Drosophila melanogaster: one gene and its partners. The protein of the gene in region 1 binds, or shares a complex with, the protein of each later gene. Each region holds a gene or a part of one and is shown in the gene's direction. Other genes may lie near its edges.

Region 1 (7,644 bases):
TTTATGATTATATATTTTTTTTTTTGGGAACACGTGCAATTGCATGTTATTGAAATTCGGATTACTTGGAATAAGTACCTGTCGTTTACCCTAAAAGTTTTTATGTTGCCAACCTATAAAGTGCATGTGCCTGCATATATTTAGATTACCTTGTGTTTATGAATTATTTTAAACATAAAATATGTTTTGTTAAGTTGCTAGAACAAATTACCGCACAATTTCTTTAATCTATTCCCATGACTTTCGAATCTATAGAGATACTTTTAAAAACAGCAATTGCATGACGATCCAATATTAAATTCTAATCTCTTGTTGAATCATTATAACAAACCAATCATGAATAAATAACAAATATAAGATACGTATCAATCATAAAAGCTAAACTATGGAAACCAGCTTGTTTTGAACTTTTACAACTTAATTATAGATTTATTTAATGATTTGAAATAATGTAAACTGTCAAATAGCTACTTATCAACGTTGCTATGGAAATAAAATGCTAACATAAACCTGTATCCATATTCAGCGTCCTCTGGTTGCCAAGACATATAATTATTTGGCTAATAATCACTTACTAAAACATTTTTAGTTCCACAAATGAATTTAAGCTTCTGATTAACATGCGATTGACCTTATTTCACAGCATTTATTGAACTCTCAGGCAGAACTTTAGCCACTTTCCGTGGCTCCTTGATCGTGGTCTGGGGGCACTGCATCTCGCTCCAGCCGACCGGCACCATGGGCACCCGGGTCTTCCGGTAATCACTGGCATAGGCGATGACCACGCCGAGTTCATTTTCGGCGGTGGTCAGGAGGAAGGACTGCTCCAGTTGGTTAATGACCCTCGCCAGGATGACATCGCCCGGCCGGAAGGACTTGTAGATATCGACGCGATCTTTTTCGGTCTCCCGGACATCCTCCTTGCGCAGAAGTCCGCGGTAGCTGCTTTCCAGCAGCACATTTCGTACGCAGAAAATGGCGCACTTGGCGAATTTTGGAGTTGTGACGAGAACTCTGGCTGTGACCACGTCTCCGGTGGCTGGGATGGTTAGATGAAATCCGGGCTTATGCACACTAACCACCTGGCACTGAAATGGAGATTAATTGGTTCCCAGAGTCAACGAAATGCCAGGATTACTTACTTTATCACCCGAATCTTCGATGTTGACAATTCCAGACTTGGAGGCGTAAATGTAGCCATTCTGCTCGTAGGTGCCTATGCCCAGGACTATGCTGTCCTCGGTTCTGCAGAGTCGCTCCCCGGGCAGGCAGACTACAGTCTCATCCTGCTGTTCACTCATTTTTAGGCCAGAGACAGTTTTTATTTTAAAAAATAAACTAAATAATAAAGCCGCATCAACAAATGGAAACACACGTGCAATGCAGTGTGACCAATATGTGGCAATTGTTAAAATGCTAGCGACAACTTTCTTAATATCACAAGATTTAAAGGCATCTTATATCATTCCTGCTTTGCTATAATAAACTTTATTGTCATGAAATTACATTTAGGAAAATGTACAATTTTTAACTAACTTCTGTAATTAACTTTTGTATGTGAGTATAAAAAGCTATGTCGACTATTTTGCCTGGTGTGCACCGCTGGCGTAAGCGTTTTCCAACACTACTACTGAGCGTGTTTACGCCGGTGCCGCCAATAATTTTCCGTTTTCGTTGAGGTTTTTATATTAATTTGTTGTGCTAGCAAGATGCCCACATCCAAACTGCAAGCCAACATGAGCTACCGCGAGGTCATACCGCGGAACCTCAGTCCGGCGGAGTGGATCGAGGTGAAAATTAACACGGGTGAGTTTCGTGCAAGATTGCCAGAGAAATTCTGAGTAACCAAATGCTCCTCCGCAAAATGTAGGAACCCAGAGCACTTTGCAGGATTTAAAAACCTTCGAAACCTCCGGCGGCTATTGCTACAAGAATACGAAAAATGTTCAGACCAGAAACCGTTTCATATATTGGTAAGTGCAAATCAGAATCGTTAAATTAGTTTCACATGGCCACTGATTTGCAGGCGGACATACCAGGATGTCCTGGAACTATCAGAGGTTAGTTTGGACATCTCCCTGCAGAGGAATCACCTGCGTCTGCGATTCACCGACTCCGCTGTGCTGAATGTATCACTCACGGAGCAAGGTACATCCGTCACCCTGCTGGTGGTCACGGTCAGCAGTGTGCATCGCTATGTGTTTCCCTTGAAGGTCGCTGGGCAGGAAGGTGGCGCAGCTTCTCCAGAGGATCTGCTATCCCAGTCCATTTTCTACGACGTCAATGACAAGATCAATGATCCCAGCACTTACTATGTCACGGATGGCTTTGGAACTATGCCCAACGCGGCTGTATCGTACCTCACTCAAGACTCCCAGTCAGCCTACTTTGCGGTGGCGTATCAGAGCAAACTACTGCTTCACGTTATGAAATGCTCCACCGGCCATACTATCACCCACGAAATCAAGGAGCCGAAGCTAATGCCATGGTTTCTGTCGAATCTCAAGGGTGCCCTCACGTAAGTGGATAAACCTCGATAAATGGCAAATCCCTAATGTTTCATTAATCATTGTAGCGGCCGCTCTGAAACGTTGGAGGCAGCCACGTCCATGGCTTTCAGTGAAATCGGGGGGGAAATTTTCATTCTGGTTCTGTATCGCAATAATGAGCTGCGTCTATGGTCAGTGGATAACTTGCAGACTGTAGCCAGCATTAACTGCTCCACCGAACTGGGACAGGACTCAGCAGCTCAAGGACGTGAGTATAAAATATTATTACGATTTAGATTTATGATCTAGATATAATGGGATTATATTCTTTTTTTTAACAGCACAAAACAGCCAGCTCCGAAAAATAAGCGATCAAAACTTCTGTCTATTTCTCTCGCACAATTCCCGAGCTGAGTTTATATGCGTTAGCATAATGCCCGATGCCGACGATGCCAGCGTTATCAATTTGGTGCAGAACATGGTGCCGGCGCCGCAAACGGATTTGGTCGACTTCGATGCCACATCCTCGCACATCTGGGCCCTTTGGAGCAACGCTGAAGGCGATTTCCATGTCTCGGCAGCATATTTTGCCTCCAACAACGCAATCAAATGGGTTTCGGCTGCTCTAGAACCGCCACCGGATCGGTATTGTCTCACCATGGAGCAGGGAGTGGATCCACGCGAAACTTACTGCAGCTATATATTTCATCCTGGTCGATTTGACCGAAATGTAATTGCCAAGGCTTTATATGTGAGTATAACCAAAACATTCTTTATTATGAATTATTGGAATAGTTTAGTAATTTGAATTTTTTGTATCGTAGATGTTCAGACGCGTTAACCTGCAATTCGATGTAAAGCAACTTTCCATGTCAGTGCTCAAGGAGCAGGTATGCCAGGCCGTGGAAGATGAAATCCAAAACGAACTGAAAGACTTTGTGGTCACCGATGAGGAGTACTTGGAGATATCCACTCGGCTGTGGGATCGCTTTTACTCCTGCTGCGAACAGTATCACATTAAGCTTTCCGAGCCGACAGGACTCGCCGTTCTTGGTGGAATGGATGCAGTATGTTTGGTTAGAAGGCAATCATTCGCATTGCTGCGCCCCTGCGAAGTGCTCGAGCACCTGTTGCTCATCGGCGAGCATAACGATGAAGTGGCGACATATGTGGCGCCACTATTTCGCAACGATCCCGAAATGGCCAAGGGTTTTGTGGAGCTCATGAATGTGGTGACACTGCTTGATAAACTAATTTCGGAGGACATTAAAATCGAGCTAGATAAACAGCTTTACCAGCGGGAGTCACCGGTTGAAGTAATATCTAAGCTGGTGGCTAGAATCAGTATGATCGATGATAATGGTCCAATATTGCCATCAAACTGTGTGAGGCAAATCCAACAGAAGCTGCAGAATATACCAAATCTTGAACCCGCTTTGGAAATGCTGCTCGATGTGCTGTGTATGATTGATCCAGATGAACCGCCGCATGGTAAATTACTTATAAATATATATAATGTTTGAAAATGATTCATATATTTCATTTCTACTTTATAGATTACTCCCTTTCTACGCGCTTCTTGCAGTCGTCTGGGGCTCTAATGGGTAGCGAATATGGACTTTCTATTTTGTCCGAAACAGTGAAGCAAATGGCAATGATACGGTGAGCTTTCGTAATAGTTTAAAAAACTTTGAACTTGGTTTATCATTTATTAAATCATGTGTCCCTAGGTTTTCTGTTTGCCGAAACCTTTTGGTATTGCAGTACATGGCTTATGGTCAGAACGAAATGGAAAGCGAAAATGTTTTAACAAATTTAAATTATTTGAACTCATATTATACACTGGTTTGGATTGCCGAGACACCCATTTCATCGAGTACCCCAGCTGGATTGTAAGGATATATAATTGATTGTATTGCACAGTTCTAACTTCTATTTTAATTTTAGCGAGGCATCTATTCAACGATTGAGCCGCGCCCAACTTTTCAGCGGCTATAATCGACCATACTCCAGCCATCTGAAACATAATGGGAACGATCAGACCACTCTGCTCCGACTGTTCCTGGAATCGAAAGGTCTGTTCAGCGCCTTGACTATGCTGCTGAAGCATGACAGTTTGTCGCTGGACTCGGAGCAATTGAATCTACGCCAGTCTTTGCTCCAACTTGTTGGATACATCAATAAGATGCTGTGCGTATAATATATAGAAAAATTGATCATGTTTTAAGTTTCAAACATCTCTTAGTTGGCCGGGATCTCCGATTTACGTATTTCCGGAATGGTTATTTGGGACCTGTCATCACATCATTGTTCAGGATTACGTGCGCATTTTGTCAAACTGGTGTTCCGTACAAAAACATGCCAGTATGCATTATTTGCTAGTTTTCCCAGCTTTGAAATTAATCCTTTTTTTCCGCAGGACGCTTTATGCTAGCCGTATCTCTATTGGATTGCGGTGAGGCCCACAAGGCCGTGCATCTCTTTCACGAGGCGGAGTCTGGCATTGTGGAGGATGACTTCCTCTTTGAGCATGTACTGAAAAATACCCCTCTATACGGCAAATTACAGAATAGCGTCAGCCGTGGCGATACAATTTCCCCCGAAGACACAAAACTGGCAATTGTTCACTACTATCTTAAGGTTATCCAGCTCTTTGAACAGCATTCCGCATTGGACTACATTATTCAACTGGCTGACATGGCCATTAGGGTGCTGCAGCCAGATGATCCTCAGTTGCCCATGTTCCAGTCAATAGTGTTCAATAATCATCTGCAGTTGGGACACTACGTGGAGGCGTACACCGCCTTAGTCAACAATGCAGATATTTCAAGGCGTAAGGATTGCCTTCGCCAGTTGGTCATAACGCTGTTCCAGAATAAATGTCTGCCACTGCTTATGCAGTTCTCCTACATCGGGTTGCAAGACGAGTTCGAGAGCATTGTTGAATCCCGGGCACGATCAATGAGCATCGATCAGAACGAAGTCTACAACTTTTTGTATGCATTCCATACGAACAAGGGTAACATGAGAAAAGGTTTGCATAAAAATTACTTTATTTTCTTCCATTTCTTCTTGCATTAATAATTTGTTTCCGAACAGCTTCTACGGTTATGTATGAGCAGGCCATGCGGTTTCAAGTAGACAGCGATGCACCAAACGCGCTAGAGAAACGTTGCTCCTCGCTGTTAATTTGCCTAAACTGTTTGCACCTAGTTGACAGCCGCTACAGATGGATTGCCAAGCCTGTTCTTGGTGATGAGCAGGTGATTACCATAGATCAGGATAACGACGATGGTGAGCCCAAATGTGACGAGGACAAGAGAGGCCAGGAGGTGGTTGTTCTAGAGCTGGCTGATATCCGAAGGGAACTGGTGCACGCAGAAGCTTTACGTGAGCTTTCCTTCTACCGCAAAGATACAGCTGCCTACGAGCGGGCCACACCCGAGGAGCTATCATACCTGCTGGCTAGTTCCGGCCTGTACACCGCGGCATTGAAACTTTCGCGGGGACACTCGTTCTCTGTGCTCCCCATATTCGAGAGTCTGACATCCGCTTGTGTTGCTGCCACTGAGGACAAGTCGTCGGACGCCTGGAACTGGCTGCAAAACAACGACATGGCAGGTAGGGATTTTTTAACGTGTATGAAAAAAAGAGGCTTACTATATGTCTTATAACAGATCTACCTCATCGAAGTAATGCTGCCGATATGGCCTGGACTTTACTTCAAAAACTGGTTGTGGATAACGAGGCAAAAGACTCCACCTTGATAAGAAAGAGCGTGGTTCAAAGGCTTCTCGGGTTAAACGCCTTCTTGCCCCAGTGGCTGATAAACTCCTACAAGTTATCCCACTCCCGGGAACTGCTCCACTTACTTGTGAAACACAATCGTCTGCTGGAAGCCGCAGATCTGGGATGTGAAATAATCGCCGGCATGCTGGGAGCAGGTAGCGAGTATTTCGAATTCAAACACGCGGTGAACATAGCAAACCCACAGCTCTGCTTCCCCATCAGCACGATCGATTTGCTGCTGCACGGTTTAAAGATTAATGGCAAGGATGATCTTGATTATGAAATGGTAAGTCATACATATAAATTTCGTTCTACTCAAAATACATTCCAATCATATTCCAAATCTATTCCTATTTTAGGCTTACTTTAAACTCGAAGAAGAAGTTCAAAGATATATTGAGACCATAAAGCGCACCACCGATGATAAGATGAGCATGGCCGTTCTGCAGATGCGAACGGATCTTCAGGAAGAACGTTAATAGTTCGTTTAAATCAGTTTATTTAATAAGTTTTTTGAATTAAATGCTAAAGCGTGTAAATCGTTTAAAAATCATCCGTCATGTCCAGCTCAGAAAGGAACTTTTTATAGATGTTCATAAACTGAGCGACGAACGCTTCAAGATGAAAAATGTGCTTGGCGCCGGACTGCATCCGGTGCTCGTACTCGGTGGCGAACTCGAGCGTCTTTGCCTTGATGGACATATCACAATTGTTAACCAGCTGTTCGACCAGGCCGCGGAATATGAGATTAGGTGGAACGCCTTGCGTGAGTAGCTCGTACAGGCGTTCGCGGATCTTCTCCAGTTTGGCAGGCGTTTGCTCACTGATAATCTGAGATGCTGTCTCACGCAGGAACACCTGCCAGTCCAGGTCGGGAATCTCCTGATTGGCGGTAAACGGCGCCTTGGCCACCTTGGCGGCCTCCAGCATCAAAAGTGCTCGCCTGAGATTGCGCTCCGACTTGTCCACAACCCGTTTGGCCAGCTCCACGGGCAGTGCGAGTCCCTCCCGCTTGCAAGTGTTCTGCAAGATGGACACGATCTCCGTTTCGTTGGGAGCCGCCACCCGTATGCCCAGGCAACGCGACCGTATGGCCGGAATGATCCGAGATGTGGAGTTCACCGATATGATTATCCGGCACGTGGCCACATATTTCTCCATCGTACGGCGCAGGGCGTGCTGGGCATCCTTGGTGAGTTCGTCGCCCTCCGAAATTACAATCACCTTGAATTCCCGTTGGCCACTAATCTCAATTTGATGCGTCTGGGCCACCTGCTTGATGAGATCGATCACCACCGTGCGGTCGTACATGCCAGCGTCGGAGGGATTCACCTCCAAGTGGTAGTTGCTGCTGACCGTCATCACC
Region 2 (5,380 bases), on another chromosome or scaffold:
AAATCACTAAAAGATAAAAAAGAACCTCTAATTCACACACACACACACAGAGAGAAACATGCTGATGGTTGCGAAGGGGGGCGATGCGGGGGGCTTAGGAGAACTATGATGAAGGAGCATTTGTTGAGCAATTGGCGCAATGAAATGTGATTAAATTTTTTAGCAGATAAGAACCGAAGTAATATGTTACGTTCCACAAATTTCAGACTGTGCGCACACAGCAATATCATGATTAATTGTTAATTATAAAATATTAAAAAGATATTTCATATGAACAGCTTGGTATGCTCGGATAATTTGGAAAAAGGGCGGCTTTAGAGTATTGCACCAAAAAGGTATGCTGTAATATTTAATTTGGATGCTTTATAATGGTAATCATGGAGTTCTGAAAATCATAACTCAATCAACAATTTCGTTCTGTGCAGATGTGCCCGAATGCATGTGTATGCGATAGTGTGCGTGCGTGTGTGTGTATGTGTGTGTGTATGTGTGTGTGAATGTGCGATAGGGAGAAAAGGAGAAAACCGGTTTTGGCGATGCTTAGGAACCGCAAGGCGAAAGGGGAACGTCGGCGAGAGGGGAGGGGGCGGTGTGTGCTAAACGTATTCTGTTCGTTTTAACCAAATGTGACACACTGCAAAGTGCCACAGTGAGAAGAAGAAGAAGAAGACAACGAAGAACGAACAGGGGTAAGAAGCCGAAAAGAGGGAGGAGGAGGAGAAACAAACGGCAGTTCGCGTTTTCCCAGTCGCTTCTTGTTTTTGCCTTTGTTTGCATTTGCTTCTGCTTTTGCCCCGGCTGCATTTTCACTCTGCACGGAAATTTGCGCAGAGCGAAATGGAAAACTGCAGGGGTATGCAAATGTCGCTGTTCGCTCACCTTTATGATCAATTCTATCTCGGGCACATCGAATTTACTGCTGCCGTTCGTCTCCTGGCTCTGCTGCGATTCAACTTCCGACATTGCGATATTGTTATTATTTTTATCGTTTATTCTCGATATCTCTGATCAGATCGAAGAGTTTTTTTCTTTATCCGCGTGACGAGGTGCGTGCGTGTTCGTTTCCTTTTCGCTTTTGTTGTGCTAATTTCCTTTGCCAATACACACACTCACGTACACAAGCTGTAACACACACAGGCAGCACACTCACACACACACAGAGAGACGGAGGGAAGAAGAAGCTCGCCTCGCAGTGTTTAAAAAAAATATGCCGTTCTGTTCTACGATTTGCGCGCTGCTAAAGTCTATTCACGATTGAATTGGTTAGCCGCTGAATAAACCAATCTGCACTGCGCGAAATACACTAACGCCTGCTGTTCAGTGTTACCAGACGGTCCTGCCTTTCGGCCGGCCTATAAATACCAAGCTAATACCAAATGTTTTTAAAGTTGTACTTACAACTCCCTCTCAATAACAGTTGTTATTGGGACATTTCAATAACAGATTGCGTAATACCAAAAATACCTTATACCTACAAAACTCCCATTTGTTCTCAATTTATTCCCCAATATATCGATATTCCATAAAAATTTTGAAATTTCGCGTTCGGGGAAATCGACTATTTTCTTTGTTTTTATAACAACTTTTAGGTATTGAGAAATAATTTCTTAGTCTGCTATCTATATAAATTTTTCAATTTAATGATTTTAATTATCAAATATTCCTTTTAAATTATATACCATCTGTAGACATTATTATAGTTATTCTAACATATAACAGTTGTACTATTAAATATACCAAAAAGAATACCACCGATTGCAAACATTTTATGGCGCCGAAATAATCCGGACTGCGACCAGGTGGCAGCACTAGCAGCTTGGTGTGCGCTTCGTTGGAAATATCATTTTATTGGCACCGGCTTTTCCATCCCAATATCACGACATGGATCTGATGGAACTGCTGAAGCAGGCCCAGCGCCTGACGAACGAGACCAATACGGACACGGAGGTGCCGGGCGTGGAACGGACCATGTCCCAGGTTCTGCAGGCAACCAAGGAGTTTCACTCGCGTGTCACCCAAATGGGCACCAATGATCTGCAGGCGTGAGTAGTTCGCTATAGGCCAGGCGCCAAAAATTGTCATATTAACCGGTCATTCAAATGCAGCCACATACTGCTCGGCTCTAAGGGCGTGGACCTGCCCAAGCTTACACAGAAGCTGGAGTCGCTCAGCGCCCGCCAAACCTTCGAGCCGATTGATCCGGTGACGGAGACCAATGTGCAGGCCTATCTGAAGAACGAGCGGGAGAACGCCATACTCTCAGTTATCGATGAGACGAATCGCAGTGTGAGTGCGCCAAATGACATGCTTCAGGCAGACACCCAAAATTCTGAACTTTCTATCTCCATTAACCAATCCATTGCAGATATTTAAATCTGTGGAGCGACAGAAGTGGCGTTGCATCTACTCGGAGTGGGGCGAGGAGAAGGAAGCGCTGCTAAACGCTCTGGTCGGACCAAACCAACAGGACTTCCCCGACGTCCAGTTTCAGATAGTGCCCACGGCCATGGCTGATGAGCCCACTCCGTACTCCCAACTGAATGGCCATGAGCAGATGTACGCTGAACAGATCGCCATCCACAACCAGTCGATCATCCTGGGCAGACGCCCTAACTTGCTGTCGACCCTTGCCCACGTGGTCCAAGACTCCTTCAACGATGAGTCCGTAGCCGAGATGTGGAATGTATTGCAGTTTATGACCGCGTTGCCGCCAGTCTCGAGCACCATCGATCCAATCAAGAATCGTCAGACATCACCGCAATTCGTTGAGCAGGCCCGCACGTACTTGGAGCGCAGATATAGGACGTATATGAGAAAGTTTATCGTCGCGAATTTGGCCAAAGCGCGGCGGGGAGGAATCCCCAGCGTGTACCATATGGTCCGCTCCTATGTGGGCGTTACTCTCCAGGGGCAGCGAGCCCTCTACGGGCTGCATGACGTGAACAATGGCCAGCCATTGTGGCCACATGTTTACTATAGCTTGCGGAGTGGCGATATGGACGCGGCTGCGTTGTATCTCAAGGAATCGGGAACCTGCCCCGACCTGCTTACGCTATTGACGTTGCGAAAGAACGGCGATAGGGACAACTTGATGGTAAAGCTTGAGGGTCAGCTAAAGTTGGAGTACAACAGTAGACTGCGCGCCTGTACGGATCCCTACAAAAAGGCGGTGAGTGCTCATCTTTTGCTACAACTTGTTGCGTATATTCGTGCTAATCATATGTTTTTCTCTTTTCCATTAGGTATACGTCGTATTGTTGGCGTGTGATCCGCACTTCACTCACGTAGAACTAATGCGCAGCATCGACGACTTCCTGTGGATGCAACTGTCCATTCTGCGCAGGTCGGACCAAAGCGACAGCAACACGGAGCAGCTAACGTTCAGCGGCCTGCAATCGCTCATTTTAGAAAAGTACGGCGAGAACTACTTCAATGCGCGCGAGAAGGCGGCGCTATACTTCCAGGTGCTGACGCTTACCGGCCAATTTGAGGCCGCCATTGAATTCCTCGCCCGCACCGAGAAAAATCGAACGCACGCTATCCACATGGCCATTGCCCTAAACGAGATATCCATGCTGGGAACACCACGTTCCGTGGAACAATCCCTTCTGAGCTCCGACCCTGACGACCCAAAACCAATGAAACGACTCAATCTTGTGCGTCTGATCGTCATGTACACCAAGTGCTTTGAGAGAACGGACACCACGCAGGCGCTGCATTACTATTACCTGTTGCGCAACTTTAAATCCGAGAACGGACGCGGCAACGTGATGCTCACCTGCGTCTGCGATCTGCTAGTTGAGAAATGCGACGACGAAATGCTAGAGCTGATTTTCGGGACGGAGGATAAGAAAAACGGCTTGCGCTATGGGTATGTTACGTTTTTGGTACTCTTAAAAGATTTCAAAATCCTTTTGGCAAATAGCTAATGGTTTATTCATTCCCCTTTATTTAGCGGCATATATGCGGAATTTCAAATTCATGAATGCGATAAGTACTCTCTGGCCGAAATGGTGGGCGATGAGTTGTCGAAACGCGGCGACTACGAATTGGCCATCGAGCTCTACTTTATTGGTGGCCAGCTGGACAAGGCACTGCGTTTGGTGAACTCGCTACTGGCACAGGTGGTCCACCAACCAACGCAGAATGGAAGCGTGCGTAACCGGCTGGGCGATATTATCAATCGACTAGATGCGGCGCTGGTCGTGCGTAAATCGGACGTAGAGGTTCAAGTTGTTGTCACATATACGGTGCTGACAAAGGTCATGAAGTTCTTTGACCACTATCACGAAGGCGCATTGCGTTCGGCATTAGAAATCCTGACCAACAATCATCTGATACCCGCCAGCTCATTGGAAGTGGACGAGTGTGTGACGAACATAAAGCGGATGGGTCCCGAGGTCATTAAAGTGCTGCCCGATATCCTGCTGGCGTCCATGGACATTGTATACCAGGAGTATGTGAAGCTAATGGACTCGAATGAAACAGCTTCCGGTTTCTTTGATGAAAGCAAGTGCGTCAATAAGGAGCCCGCCGTGAAACATTTGCGAGACAGGGCCAAGGCATTCACCAACATGGCTGCCAGCGTTCCATACCGAATGCCATCGACCACCAACCAGCGGCTCGTCCAGCTGGAGATCCTTATGCACTAACATTAGCCAGATTAATACCTAGTTATCGTTTATATGCATTTCATTCAGTTCGTTTAAAATTTTATTGATGATTATATTTTTTTCTTTCCAATAATTTTATTGGAATTTTTCTGTTAAGCGCAACGCATTTAAAGCATTAAGCATTCGAAAAATTTAAAAGAAAATATTTTGTATGTATGTGTTATAAGAAAACTAAACAAAATTCAAAATGTCACACGTATATGTTAATTACTCACGGTTTAGGCAAACAATTAAAATTTTGCATTTTCGCTACTTAATAACCGAATGTATGGTATGTATCACAACAAGCCACTAACCCACTGGAATATCCACAAAAGACTTTCAGATAAGAAGTATTAAGTATTTTATTGCATAATTTGAGACACCGTTTGCTATTGCATTGAAACCTCAAGAGGTCTCAGGAACACCCCAGGACATACATATGAAGAACACATCAATATACTTGTATCAAAATAGTATTGCCAACAATGGCTGCCAACTGTCGGAGATTTTAGGAATCCATTACATAGTTTCTAACAGATCCGTTTCGAGATCCTAGTACACTGCCATAAAAATGAAGAAAAAAAAAAGCCATTAGCTTGGCCCTCGTTTCGTATAAATGCATTTGTTTTCACTTCTGTCTATTTAAGATAATATTGTTAATTGGAATAAGTTGATTGCGATAGTTTGTTCTGGTTTTGTGCGCCACTCAGTCGAAGGTCGGAAGG
Region 3 (7,942 bases), on another chromosome or scaffold:
GCTGGCCGCTGGTAGAAGAGCGGCGGCTCCTGCTGATAGATTGGCCTCATGGCAACGGGGATGCATTGCCCGCAGCACGGATCGCAGATAGTTCCTGGCCGCTAGAACGCCGAGCAGAGACTGCCGTAGCTCGGCGTCTAACGCTCAGGCGAGAGGTCTATTAATAAACCCACGATCGGGTCTAGAGAGAACCAGCAACAGAGGAGCACTCAATGTTTACACGTAGGAATGCGCCGCAGTTCCGAATGTTGCGACAGAGGCGTTCAAGAAAATAGCACCTCAGTATCAAGATATTTGAATCTTTAATTTGGAAAGGATACTTTAGCGAGTAATGGGAGAAATCGCCTCGATTTAATTCCTTAGATGTAAGAACTATATATCTTGACTATGATGTTAGTTATTGATTTGAACCGATTACTAATTTCATTATCAAAAGTAAAGTCTAGTTCGAAGTTAAGATGTATTGACATAATGGAAAATGCTAACGGAGGTATTGTGTGCTTGAACAAATGAGGTGCTAGCTACTTGGCCGCGACTGTGCCACACTATGGGCAAGCGTCGAGTTGCGATCTATAAATATTGACAACAATAGCGGAGTCACAGAGAGTCGCCGGGTCGCCGACAGGCTATATCCACATGTTCTGCACCCAAATCGGGCGAGGCGAGTGCGTCGGCCTCGGGAACACAGAGACGCAGAAGCTTGGAAAGTTGCAACTCCAAATTAGGAGTTCAATCGAGGGTTACACACACAGGCCGCGCACACTCGCGCACAAGTGAACGGTACTTTGCGACAGCTGATTAATAAACAAACAATCCGGCAATCAGCGAATCGAGGAACCACGGAAATGTATAAAACTTAGAAATCAGAAGCGTGACGCCCACACAATTAGGAAACGACGACGGGCTTCGTAGGTGCTTTTCTCGCTTTCGAAGGCCGAGCTTGAAAAGTTAGTTTTGTTTTTTTTTGGGGGTCAGCAGCTGTAGCGCTCTCACTCGCACTCACACTCACTTGCGGTGGCTATGAAGTCGGGATTTGCTATAGTAGTAATCGGTTATTACTCACATTATAAGCCGCGAAAACAGGCTGCTGATCATCTTGAGCGTCGCCTGGCTGCTCTAGGGGAAAACTGTAGGGTATTTAATTAGAGTCCACTCCGTTATCCTGGCCTCCTTTCCAACCCCAATTTTCACCTGGAATTTCCTTGACTTTTCCGTAAATTATGTGATTTGGGGTACTTTATGGGCAATATCGAAATAAAATCCACAGATTTCTGTTTAAGTCGATTTAAATTTCATTTACTTTTTGGTAACTGCGATTGAATTCGAAGGATTTCGAGATTAATTGGCTACGCAATTTTTAGCACCGTGTTGCGTCGCCTGTGGATAATTGCGAATCGCCAGCTCGACCTCTACTACATGGCTTTGTGCAATCACAGTCGAAACAGCCGATGCTTTGTGCCCTGCTTTGCAAATGCATTCGCATTGCCCGCGAACAAATCGCTTTTGTTTAATTCTCAGCAAACAAAAAGAAACGCTTGTAGGACAGAGACAGACGAACAACAACAAGGCTGCTGCGCTAGCGATGTGCTGAAATTTTCGTTCTCGCACATACTGTCCAAAACAAAATACCGTCTGAAAAAATACCAACAAAGTGCAATTGCCATATGGTCAACCGCTAAGACAAGATTGGTGAATACTTAATTCAAGCTAAGTTGGTTTCTTTTAGTTAACAAGTTCATCAGTTAGTTATAGGAGAAAACTATTTTTATATAAGATTTTATCCCATTTTCTTTTTAAAGGAACATCTATGAAATTTAAATCAGATTGTATTGTATATGTTGTTGGATTTTTTGGTGGTGAGTTTTTGTGGTGAGTTTCCTGAAAGTGACCGTACTGCAAGTGGCGCGCTTTTTGCTTGCCAACGTTTCCAACGATCTCAACTTGCAGCCACACCATCGACTCGATTGGGAAATCGACAAGCCGCAAAAAATTTGGCGAAATAGGAGCGAAAACAGACAAAAATGGCGCAGAATGCACCAGACTGCGAGGACACGCAGGTAAGCACAATTGCATAGCACTGAGATGTCAAACATTCCATTGGTTTTGGTCGCAGGACTTTCAATTCAAACTGCACCACAAGATTGTTGCGTTCAAAAAATGCGGTGAGCCCCGCAGCAATGTGAACCTGCTGGCGGTCTCCAGTAGCCGGGGATTGCTCTTTGCCGGGAGTCCAACGCAGCCGGAACTCAAAGGTAATGTAGCTTGAGTTAGCTAGGCTAAATATATAAATTTATCCTGGCACTCCTTGCAGTGATTATTGTAAAGGATTTGGTCAATGCGAAGAGCACAGCCCAACAGCCGCAGGCGCGTCTGGTGCCACTGCCCAGTATTCCGAATTACATTGCCTGCAGCTCCGATGGCAACCTGCTGGCCGTGAATCACACCCAGAACGGCACCAGCCTGCTCAGCATATATGCGGTGCTATCGTTCATGACCCCTGATGTACGTCCTGTTTATAATATTCGCCTCGCCGCCGAGGATCACGTGCACGGCGTCCAGCTCCTCTGGAATCCCGTGCTGCCCAACAGCCTGGCCGTTGTTTTGAGCAACGGAGCGCTCGCGATGTATGCCCTGAAGGAGGGGGGAAACTTTGAAATGCACTCGCTGGACAAAAATCAACAAGTTAAGTGCGGCTGCTGGTCGCCCAAGGGCAAACAGATCGTTCTTGGTTTTCCCGGCGGCACGGTGAAGCAGTTCAAGCCGGATCTGACTCTGGCCAAGACGCTTTTGTGTCCTCCGAATATACATGATGCCCCCTTTGACACCATTGCTATACAGTGGCTGTCGACTTTCCAGTTTGCAGTGATCTTTCTCCAGCATGGCGAGGACTGTAGCCCCTCGCTTTACATTCTAAATGCTCCCAAGGCTGGTGCGCCCAGCTACATAAACTACTATGACATCTGCTATAGCATGAACGGCCCGAGGAATCATCAGTTCGTATTTAGCCATGTGCCCCAGTGGAATCTGCTGCTCGTAGTCTCGGCCAATGGCGTAGAGGTGGGCATCATGCGGTCAACCGAGGCCGGCGATACACCCGCTTGGCAGCAGCTTACATTGCTGGATGAGGCACGCATTGAAATGCCCCTAAGTGAGGACAAGGATGAGACCTTCCCGCTGGGCTTTGCCTTCGACACTTCTACAACGCACCAGCTGACGATAAATGAGAAGAAGCTGCAGACTATGCCCATGGTTCATGTTTTGAGTTCGGATGGAGAATTGCTCTCGTTCAACTTTCTTAATGTGCTGCCGACGGCGGTGTCTGTTTGTTCGCCACCTCCTCCAGTGGCCGATACTTCTGGGCAGTTCAAGCCGTTGAATATGCTGCTTGCTAGTGAGGAAGAAGAGCAGCCAGCTTGGGCAGCCAGTCCCTCCAAGGCTCCAGCTGCAACTCCTGCTGCTTCCTCGGACATATCCTTTGCATTTACACCGAATACCGTTACTTCAACCCCAGCTCCCTCGAAGGATAAGCAACCATCATTGTTTTCTGGCTTTGGAGCAGCTGCAGCTAAGGCACCTGCTCCGCAACTATCTTTTGGTACTGCTCCGACTTCTAGTCCGGTTTCGTTTGGTGCTCCAACTACCAATGCAGCCAAGCCAACAACACCGTTTGGTGGGTTTGGCACGCAGGCAACGACTACTGCCATGGGAAGCATGTTTTCGGCTTCAGGAGCAAATGCCTTTGGGGGAATGGCATTGAATAAACCGGCTATTGCCAGTGTGACACCCCGAACAGCGGCACCTGGGTCAACAGTACCCGCAACTCCTGCTTCTGCTCCAGCAAACAAACCACTGTACACGGTTCCTTTAACATTCACACCAGTGGACACAAAACCAGCCACTTCAGCTCCTCCACAAATCGCAGATGAAAGTCTTAAGCCTGATGACACTGAGCCTATTATCAAGGACATGATTGCCCTACAAATCGAAGCCTTTAGCAAGGATATCCAAAAGCAAAAGGAACAGACGAAGGAACTCCTCAAAGGCGTAAGTAGTGTTGGTATTACACTGCTTCATGTATTAAAGTTGTTATTCCGCAGATTGCAGCACCATCTGCTTTGAGGGCATACGCAAAGAGACTGGATGACCTCCAAGAGCTCAATGAACAAGCCAAGGATGTGGAGTTCGAGTTAGATGTACAGGGATTGCGACAGGGTCTTAATGAGGCCTATGCCATCGTAGCAGAGTGCCGCGGGAAACTGGAGATTTATAGAAAACCAGAGTGGGTAAAGGACTCTTTGAATATATAAGCTATTTAAAACCCGTAATTTTCGTTTAGGATTACGCGTTTAATGAACTCAAGCTCCTGTGATCCCTCTGGCCGTCGCATGCTAGCTCGTCTTCAGAGCTACGTGGCTGCCAATGAGGCCCAGCTGCGTCTTGCCCAGCAGCATGTCGATTTGCAGTGGGAACAGTTTCAGGATGTTGTGCGGCGCAATTCGAAGTCTCGCATGCACATGCCTTGCCTAGAGGGAATCTATCAACGACTGACAAGACTACAAAATCTAACTTCTAACCAGCGAATTGTACAGAACAACATCAAGTCCAAACTGAAGGAGCGCGGATTGCTTCAGGCCGCACTGCTCGACCAGGAGAAAAGTCGCACCCGCACCAACGAAGCGTTAGTAGAAGTTATTGTGACCTCTCTCTTTATGCGACTATAACTTTTTTATTTAGAGTGGATACATTGACCGACTCCATTCTCACGATGAGTCTTAGCCAGGTAGTGGACTCTAATGCAGCCAAGCTCACTCGAGAAAGACTACAAAAAATCCGTAATATTGTTCAGCTGCAGAAGATCAATGTTATTTGTCCCCAGCGACCAGATCGAGTGGGGCTCAAGTCGGAGGTTATTTTGGAAACGAAACGTAGGGCGGAGCAAATTAAAAGGGCAGCAGCCAAGCCTGCAACAGCCAACAAATACACCCAAGCAGCAGTCGCTCCGCCTTCACCACCAGATGTTGCACCCACGCCAGCTGTTGCACCCATGCCACAAGCAACTGTTACAGTGGCTCCTCCGCTGCCTAAACCAATGCCATCTATACCGTCCGTTGTGGAAAAGCCTGGAGTGCCCACACATCCGACAACTCCAGTGGCTACGCCATTTTCCTTCAGCCAAAGCATCCCATTTGTGAAGACATCTACTGTGACGCCAACGACAAATACTGTGACTCCTGGCGAAGCAGCCAAGCCGGGTTTATCCATTTTCGGCGGCAGTACTATTTCCAGCTTTAGTTTTGGTGGTGGTGCTGCCAAGTCGGCACTCTCATTCGGAACAGGATCGCCAGCCGTGGCAGCTCCTACACCAAAACCAAACCCGTTGTCAGCGGTCGAAAAACCAACACCCGAGCCGACTAAGCCCAAAGAGCAGAAAGCAGCAGAAAGCAAAGAATTCAAGGCGGTACAACCCGAAACAGAAGAGTCAAAAGTACCCCAAAAACCAAAGGCAGAGACGGAAAACAAATCCTTTGGATTTGGAGGATTTACAGGAACTGGAGGTACTGTCGGAAATACTTCCAGCTCCCCGTTCAGCTTTGGCGGACTGGGTTCATCTCTAGGCTTCGGAGGAACAGCCGCTGCTGTGCCAAAATCTGAACCTTCCAGCACAGCAACCACTAGTGTAGCCACATCAGCTTCAACTGCACCATTTGGCATCTTCTCAGCAGCTTTGGCGAAACCATCCAACTCTGAACCGATCACCACGGTCACTAGCAACACAACCACCATCACCAGCAAGCCTACGAATGTAATTGCTTCGAGCAGCGTAACTGATGCTCCTTCCGTCACCACAACAAATGCAGTGACCAGCAGCACGGATCCTATTGGAGGCCTCTTTAGCTCTGTGACTATCTGCAAGCCCAACACTCCTGCAGGTAAGCTATAGTTTCCTTTATCAATATACCTTACGCATAAATGTATACGCTTATTTGGCATAAACTCTAAACGGCTATATATGTCTTTTACTTTGCAGATACCACCAAACCAGCCAACATTTTTGGAGGAGGTTTATCCGCTGGTAGCTTTTCATTTGGCGGAACGATTGATGCCTCAAAGGGATTATTCGGCAGTACCAAACCAGTGGCAACAGCTCCCACAAGTGTGACGGAGGCGAACAACAAAACTGATCCTATTTCAACCACCCCATCAGCCATTTCGACTACTACTGCTACGACGACTGTGTCTAGTCCAGCAGTAGTTCCTGCGGCAGTTACCGCAGCAGTTCCGGCAACATCGAGCACAACGGTAACATCTAGCACTGCTGTTCCCGGCAGTGCGTTCTCCTTCTCAAACGCATTTAGCACCCTAAGTGCGGGAGGTGCTGCAGCTCCAACTACCAGCGCTTCAGCTCCCTTAGCTGCCAAAAGCCCAACCGCTACATCTACAGGCAATAACTCGTCGAATTCAGTGTTTGGTGGTGGCTTCGCAGTAGCAACATCAACAGCGGCTCCAGTGGCTAGTCCCTTTCAGTCAGCTGCAAAAAGTCCAGTTTCGAGTGCAAACATTTTTGGCAGTATACCTAAGGCGGAGACCAGCGTTTTCGGAGGAGCTACAACTGCTCCTTCAAACACCACGGCTGCGGCAACACCAGATGCACCACCAGCGGGTCTCTTTGCATCGGCCGCGATTAGTAACCCTTCGCCGTTTGGTAGTCCCACGACTAGAGCACCAGCCTCTGGCGGTAACATTTTTGGTCAGGCTGTTAAGCCAAGTGTCTTTGGACAACCAGCACAAGCAGGCGATAGCGGAGGATCTATTTTTGGTGGCGGATCCGCCAGTACACCTTTTGGATCCAGCTCAATTTTTGGAGGAGGTAATACGCAGGGCGCAGTCGGCGCTCCGGCTGCAGGAAGTACTTCAATTTTTGGCCAAAAAGTGTTTGGTCAATCATCAGCGGCTGCACCGGCAGCAGGTGGGAATATATTCTCCAATCCCGTCGGCAGTCCGCAAGCTTCTCCTTTTGGTGGCGGAGGAAACTCTATTTTCGGATCACCAGCAACAGCTCCGCCCGCATCTGGCGGATCGATCTTTGGGGGTGGCAGCAGCTCTGGTGGATTTGGCTCCTTCACGCAGACGACACCAGCTCAGGGGGGCTTCGGTGGTGGATTTGGCCAGGGCGGGGGTGGATCTGTGGCCCAGACAGGTTTTGGCTCACCACAAGCCCCGCAGCAGCAAACTACGACACCAGGTGGGTTTGGAGCCAAGCCCGTTTTCGGTGGATCCCCGGCCTTTGGAGCTAGCCCCACTTTTGGGGGAGGTGCCACCTTTGGCAGTCCGAAGGGTTTCGGTGGATTTGGCGGTGCCAGCCCAGTAGCCTCCCCTCCACCCTTTGGTGCTGCTGCAAAGCCGGCACAGGGAAACATTTTTGAAACGTTGGGGGGACAGGAATCGGGACTCTCTTTCGGAAATCTAGCACAGACTGGAAACTCAAATGCACAGAAACCAGCGTTTGGCGGGTAAGTTCGACCGACATACATACATATGCATACTTATATAAGTATTTCCAAGAATGCATACGACTAACGAAATATTAAATTTTACTATTTCAGATCGAGCTTTATGAATTATCGTTGAGTTCATAATAAATGTGTTGCATAACTCAATAGTTTTGCTTGTTCAGTTTTCATGAAATAAGAATACCAGTTAAAATTAAAAATCTTAAATCTTAAATCTTTATTAAAATTAAAAAAAAAAAAACTGTGTTTTTACTTCACGCGAAATGTGTGTACTGAACTTTATTTAGTATTTATAGTCTAGTATGATAAGGGTTTCTTTTTTTATGAAATACTTGCTATGGTATTATGCTCATGCTAAGGTTATCACCTATTTCATTCGAACATCTCATGAGATGCAGACACGTCTGGCTTGGATTCCCGTCATTTTTTGG
Region 4 (3,494 bases), on another chromosome or scaffold:
TATTAATTATCTACTTTGGCTTTGGGTTCAAATGGATGATGAGGATGTCCATAGGCCCTAGGAGAAAAATAGAAAGATTCGAGATATTTCAAGTTAAAACCTAGGAAATGAAAAGAGCAACACCTACGCCTTCATGGTCATAAAACGCCCATTGCAGTCCAATTCGTTAATGGCCTGTATGTCATCGACGGCCAACTCAAAGTCCCAGATTCGCTTAAAGTTGTCCAACATGTGCTGTTTGCTTACTGATCTTGGGATGACAATTATACCCGATTGTGTCTGAAAGCGTAGGAGCACCTGTGCCGCAGTCCTTTCGTATTTCTCAGCTATAGCCAAGATGGTCGGATGCTGGAGCAGTGGATAAGCGCCGGGCTTCTCGTAGGGCGTATGTCCCGATCCCAGGCAGCTGTAGGCGGTCACAGCAATGGCATTGTCATAGCACAGCGTAATCAATGGCTTCTGACTAAGGTACGGGTGGCACTCGATTTGAAGAACTACCGGTTTAAGCTTGGCCACACTGAGAAGTCTATTCATCTGCTGCTCATTGAAGTTAGACACACCGATGGCCTGGCACAGACCCTCGTCCACCAGATTCTCCATTGCACGCCACGTGTCCACATAGTCGATGTCCTCGAATGCGGCCTTATTGGTGTCCGGACACGTGGGATATAGGTTGTCACTGCCCGACTTGTAGGCCATGGGCCAGTGCATCAGGTAGAGGTTTAGGTACTTGACTCCCAAGTTCCTTATGCTTGTCTCACATGCCGGGCGCACCAAATCCGGCTTGTGGTGTGTGTTCCAAAGTTTGCTCGTGATGAAGAGTTCATCTCTGCAGTGCAATATGTATTTATGGCTTAGATAAACGATTGATTAGGCCTGAAAGCAGCACTTACCGTGTGACCACTCCCTCGTCCATTTTCTCCCGGAGAGCAGCTCCCACTTGCGCCTCATTGCCATAGATATGAGCGCAGTCAAAATGGCGATAGCCTATATCAATAGCATCCTTTACTGCTTGGGTCACCACTTCCGGCGGGCTCTAAAATGGCGAATAAAACGTAAAAAGCTGAGGTGCATCAAAAGCTTTTGCTTGACCCCGAAGAGCTTTGACATTGACCGTGAAATATGCAGTGGAAATGCACATTTCAGCTGGCTATTATTTAATAACAATATATATCTATGTAAAAGTACTTACCCGCCAAGTTCCGAGACCCAACATAGGCATATTTTTACCATTGCTCAAGAGAAAATTCGGTGTCGACATGTTTGAATCCTTTTGCTCCTTGTGAAATATGTTGTTGCACTGGCTTCGTTTTTGGAAAGCTTTAATTTGTAATTTACTAAGTGAACTATACTCAAAGGCCTATTAAACTGGCTAGAAACAGCATGTCTTGTGACAGCTCTGCTATCACAACTATATGTACGAAAATTGTTTAAATTTAGAATCTTTTGGGCAAGCAAAAGACCTTCGCGGAATATAATCGATTCGCTGCAGAGGGAAATTTTAAAATTTAAAACAAAAAACTCTTTTTCTGCGTTCAGAGTTTTATTTTATAAACCGAGTATAATGTAAATAAATACCTTTTTTTAATAAAATAAAATAAAATGTTAAAAAAAAAACTTTTGAAAAAATATTCTTTGTATTATCGCGTTATAAAAAACAAAGACAATCGATAGAAGTTTCCGATGAAAACATCGCATTCGCAGATAGTGCCTGACCTACCATCTCTAATTTTGCCGCCTGCGAAAAACACAAACAATGTTCGGCACCGTAAATAACTATTTATCCGGCGTTTTGCACGCCGCCCAGGATTTAGATGGCGAGTCCTTGGCCACGTATCTCTCCTTACGAGACGTGCACGTTCAGAACCACAATTTGTACATTGCCCAGCCGGAAAAGTTGGTGGATCGATTCCTGAAACCGCCACTGGACGAAGTTGTGTCCGCCCACCTGAAGGTGCTGTATCACCTGGCACAGGAGCCTCCTGGTTACATGGAAGCCTACACCCAACAGTCGGCAGCCTGCGGAGCCGTTGTGAGGCTTTTGCAGCAGCTGAAGGACGAGAATTGGTGCCTGCCACTAATGTACCGCGTGTGCCTGGATCTAAGGTACTTGGCGCAGGCCTGCGAGAAGCATTGTCAAGGATTCACACCTGGCCACGTATTGGAGAAGGCTGCCGACTGCATAATGGCCTGTTTCCGCGTTTGTGCCGCTGATGGACGAGCTTCAGAGGAGGACACCAAGCGTCTGGGCATGATGAACCTCGTAAACCAGCTATTCAAGATTTATTTTCGAATCAACAAGTTGCATCTGTGCAAGCCCCTTATCCGTGCCATCGATAATTGCATCTTCAAGGATTCTTTTCCGCTGCCGGAGCAAATTACCTACAAGTATTTTGTAGGTAGACGGGCTATGTTCGACTCCAACTACCAGGCAGCCGTACAGTATCTGTCGTATGCCTTTAGCAACTGCCCGGATCGGTTTGCCAGCAACAAGAGGCTCATCCTCATCTATTTGGTGCCAGTGAAGATGCTGCTGGGATATCTGCCCAGCAAATCCTTACTGCAGCGCTACGATCTCCTGCTGTTTCTCGATCTGGCTATGGCCATGAAGGCTGGCAATGTGAATCGCTTTGATGAGATTGTCAGGGACCAGGAGCTGGTGCTGATCAGGAGTGGTATCTATCTGCTGGTGGAGAAGCTCAAGTTCCTCGTGTATCGCAACCTGTTCAAGAAGGTGTTCGTCATCCGGAAATCGCATCAGTTGGACATGGGTGACTTCCTCTCCGCCTTGCATTTCGTTGGCTTAACCGATGTTTCTCTGGACGAGACGCACTGCATCGTGGCCAATCTCATTTACGATGGAAAGATTAAGGGGTACATCTCACATGCTCACAACAAACTGGTCGTGTCGAAGCAAAATCCATTCCCCTCAGTGTCCCTTTAGTGCATTTTGTAATTATTGTGAATTTTTAAGAGTAAAAGAATCCAATTTAATCAGTGTATTAGTTTACTGGATGGGGCATGTGAATGGAGGGCACCAACGATGAGTATAAGACCTGAAGACTTTGAATTTAAAGTACCTTCAATTCTATTTGGTTATAATTTTGTTTGGTTTTTCGAAACCTATATGTTTCAAATCAACTTATGAACTAATAATATAATTTTTGGTTATAAATATGTTTATTTTTCAACGGTTTTAAACTAATACCACTTTTTAAACTTAATCGAACTTTGGAATTGATATATATCGATTTTTGTGCTCGAACCGATGTATCGACAGCGGAATCGGTTTCGGTCACATCTCTAGGTCCACCGACTATCACTCATCTCTGAACTTTTTGGAACGCAGCTGCATGAATTGTCGTAGTTGAGCGAATTTAAACAAATTAACACAATACTTGTGGTATTACCTGGTAAATGATTAGAGCCTCATTCGCGCAAAGTGTACATAAGACAAGTGGCGAAGATTAGATCTAGTTAGCTAGTAACCATTT

Evidence for each region.
Region 2: Nup160 (region 1) and Nup93-1 share a complex: the UniProt entries of both Drosophila melanogaster proteins name them as parts of the nuclear pore complex.
Region 3: Nup160 (region 1) and Nup214 share a complex: the UniProt entries of both Drosophila melanogaster proteins name them as parts of the nuclear pore complex.
Region 4: Nup160 (region 1) and PCID2 share a complex: the UniProt entries of both Drosophila melanogaster proteins name them as parts of the nuclear pore complex.

What each region holds. Positions count from the first base shown.
Region 1 is NT_033779.5:11,122,170-11,129,813, forward strand, and holds Nup160 (nucleoporin 160kD), read left to right. Parts: upstream 1-1,607; 5' UTR 1,608-1,709; coding exon 1,710-1,806; intron 1,807-1,870; coding exon 1,871-1,973; intron 1,974-2,026; coding exon 2,027-2,518; intron 2,519-2,575; coding exon 2,576-2,757; intron 2,758-2,830; coding exon 2,831-3,240; intron 3,241-3,313; coding exon 3,314-3,980; intron 3,981-4,045; coding exon 4,046-4,151; intron 4,152-4,219; coding exon 4,220-4,381; intron 4,382-4,436; coding exon 4,437-4,679; intron 4,680-4,734; coding exon 4,735-4,853; intron 4,854-4,908; coding exon 4,909-5,523; intron 5,524-5,588; coding exon 5,589-6,110; intron 6,111-6,166; coding exon 6,167-6,564; intron 6,565-6,637; coding exon 6,638-6,757; 3' UTR 6,758-6,821; downstream 6,822-7,644. Other genes in the region: Csl4, read right to left, coding at 633-1,088, 1,143-1,301; RfC38 (replication factor C 38kD subunit), read right to left, coding at 6,822-7,644. UniProt on the Drosophila melanogaster protein: Functions as a component of the nuclear pore complex (NPC). Involved in poly(A)+ RNA transport. Required for nuclear import of Mad. May play a role in double strand break DNA repair. Essential for nephrocyte development.
Region 2 is NC_004354.4:13,821,046-13,826,425, forward strand, and holds Nup93-1 (nucleoporin 93kD-1), read left to right. Parts: upstream 1-1,780; 5' UTR 1,781-1,881; coding exon 1,882-2,042; intron 2,043-2,105; coding exon 2,106-2,286; intron 2,287-2,365; coding exon 2,366-3,169; intron 3,170-3,242; coding exon 3,243-3,871; intron 3,872-3,955; coding exon 3,956-4,652; 3' UTR 4,653-4,865; downstream 4,866-5,380. Other genes in the region: Clic (chloride intracellular channel), read right to left, coding at 880-963. UniProt on the Drosophila melanogaster protein: Required for nuclear pore complex assembly, maintenance and function. Required for nuclear import of phosphorylated Mad via importin msk. Has no role in classical nuclear localization signal (cNLS)-dependent nuclear import via importin-beta.
Region 3 is NT_033778.4:22,918,734-22,926,675, reverse strand, and holds Nup214 (nucleoporin 214kD), read left to right. Parts: upstream 1-1,933; 5' UTR 1,934-2,021; coding exon 2,022-2,057; intron 2,058-2,113; coding exon 2,114-2,252; intron 2,253-2,311; coding exon 2,312-4,044; intron 4,045-4,097; coding exon 4,098-4,279; intron 4,280-4,336; coding exon 4,337-4,678; intron 4,679-4,734; coding exon 4,735-5,930; intron 5,931-6,028; coding exon 6,029-7,511; intron 7,512-7,604; coding exon 7,605-7,629; 3' UTR 7,630-7,739; downstream 7,740-7,942. Other genes in the region: ReepA (receptor expression enhancing protein A), read right to left, coding at 1-50; CG30187 (uncharacterized protein), read left to right, coding at 7,904-7,942. UniProt on the Drosophila melanogaster protein: Part of the nuclear pore complex. Serves as a docking site in the receptor-mediated import of substrates across the nuclear pore complex including emb, RanGAP and phosphorylated Mad. Protects mbo/Nup88 from proteasomal degradation at the nuclear pore.
Region 4 is NT_037436.4:11,624,724-11,628,217, forward strand, and holds PCID2 (PCI domain-containing protein 2), read left to right. Parts: upstream 1-1,717; 5' UTR 1,718-1,756; coding exon 1,757-2,944; 3' UTR 2,945-2,992; downstream 2,993-3,494. Other genes in the region: CG6083 (uncharacterized protein), read right to left, coding at 3-57, 128-829, 894-1,036, 1,193-1,261. UniProt on the Drosophila melanogaster protein: Required for the export of nuclear mRNAs and involved in mRNA trafficking in the cytoplasm.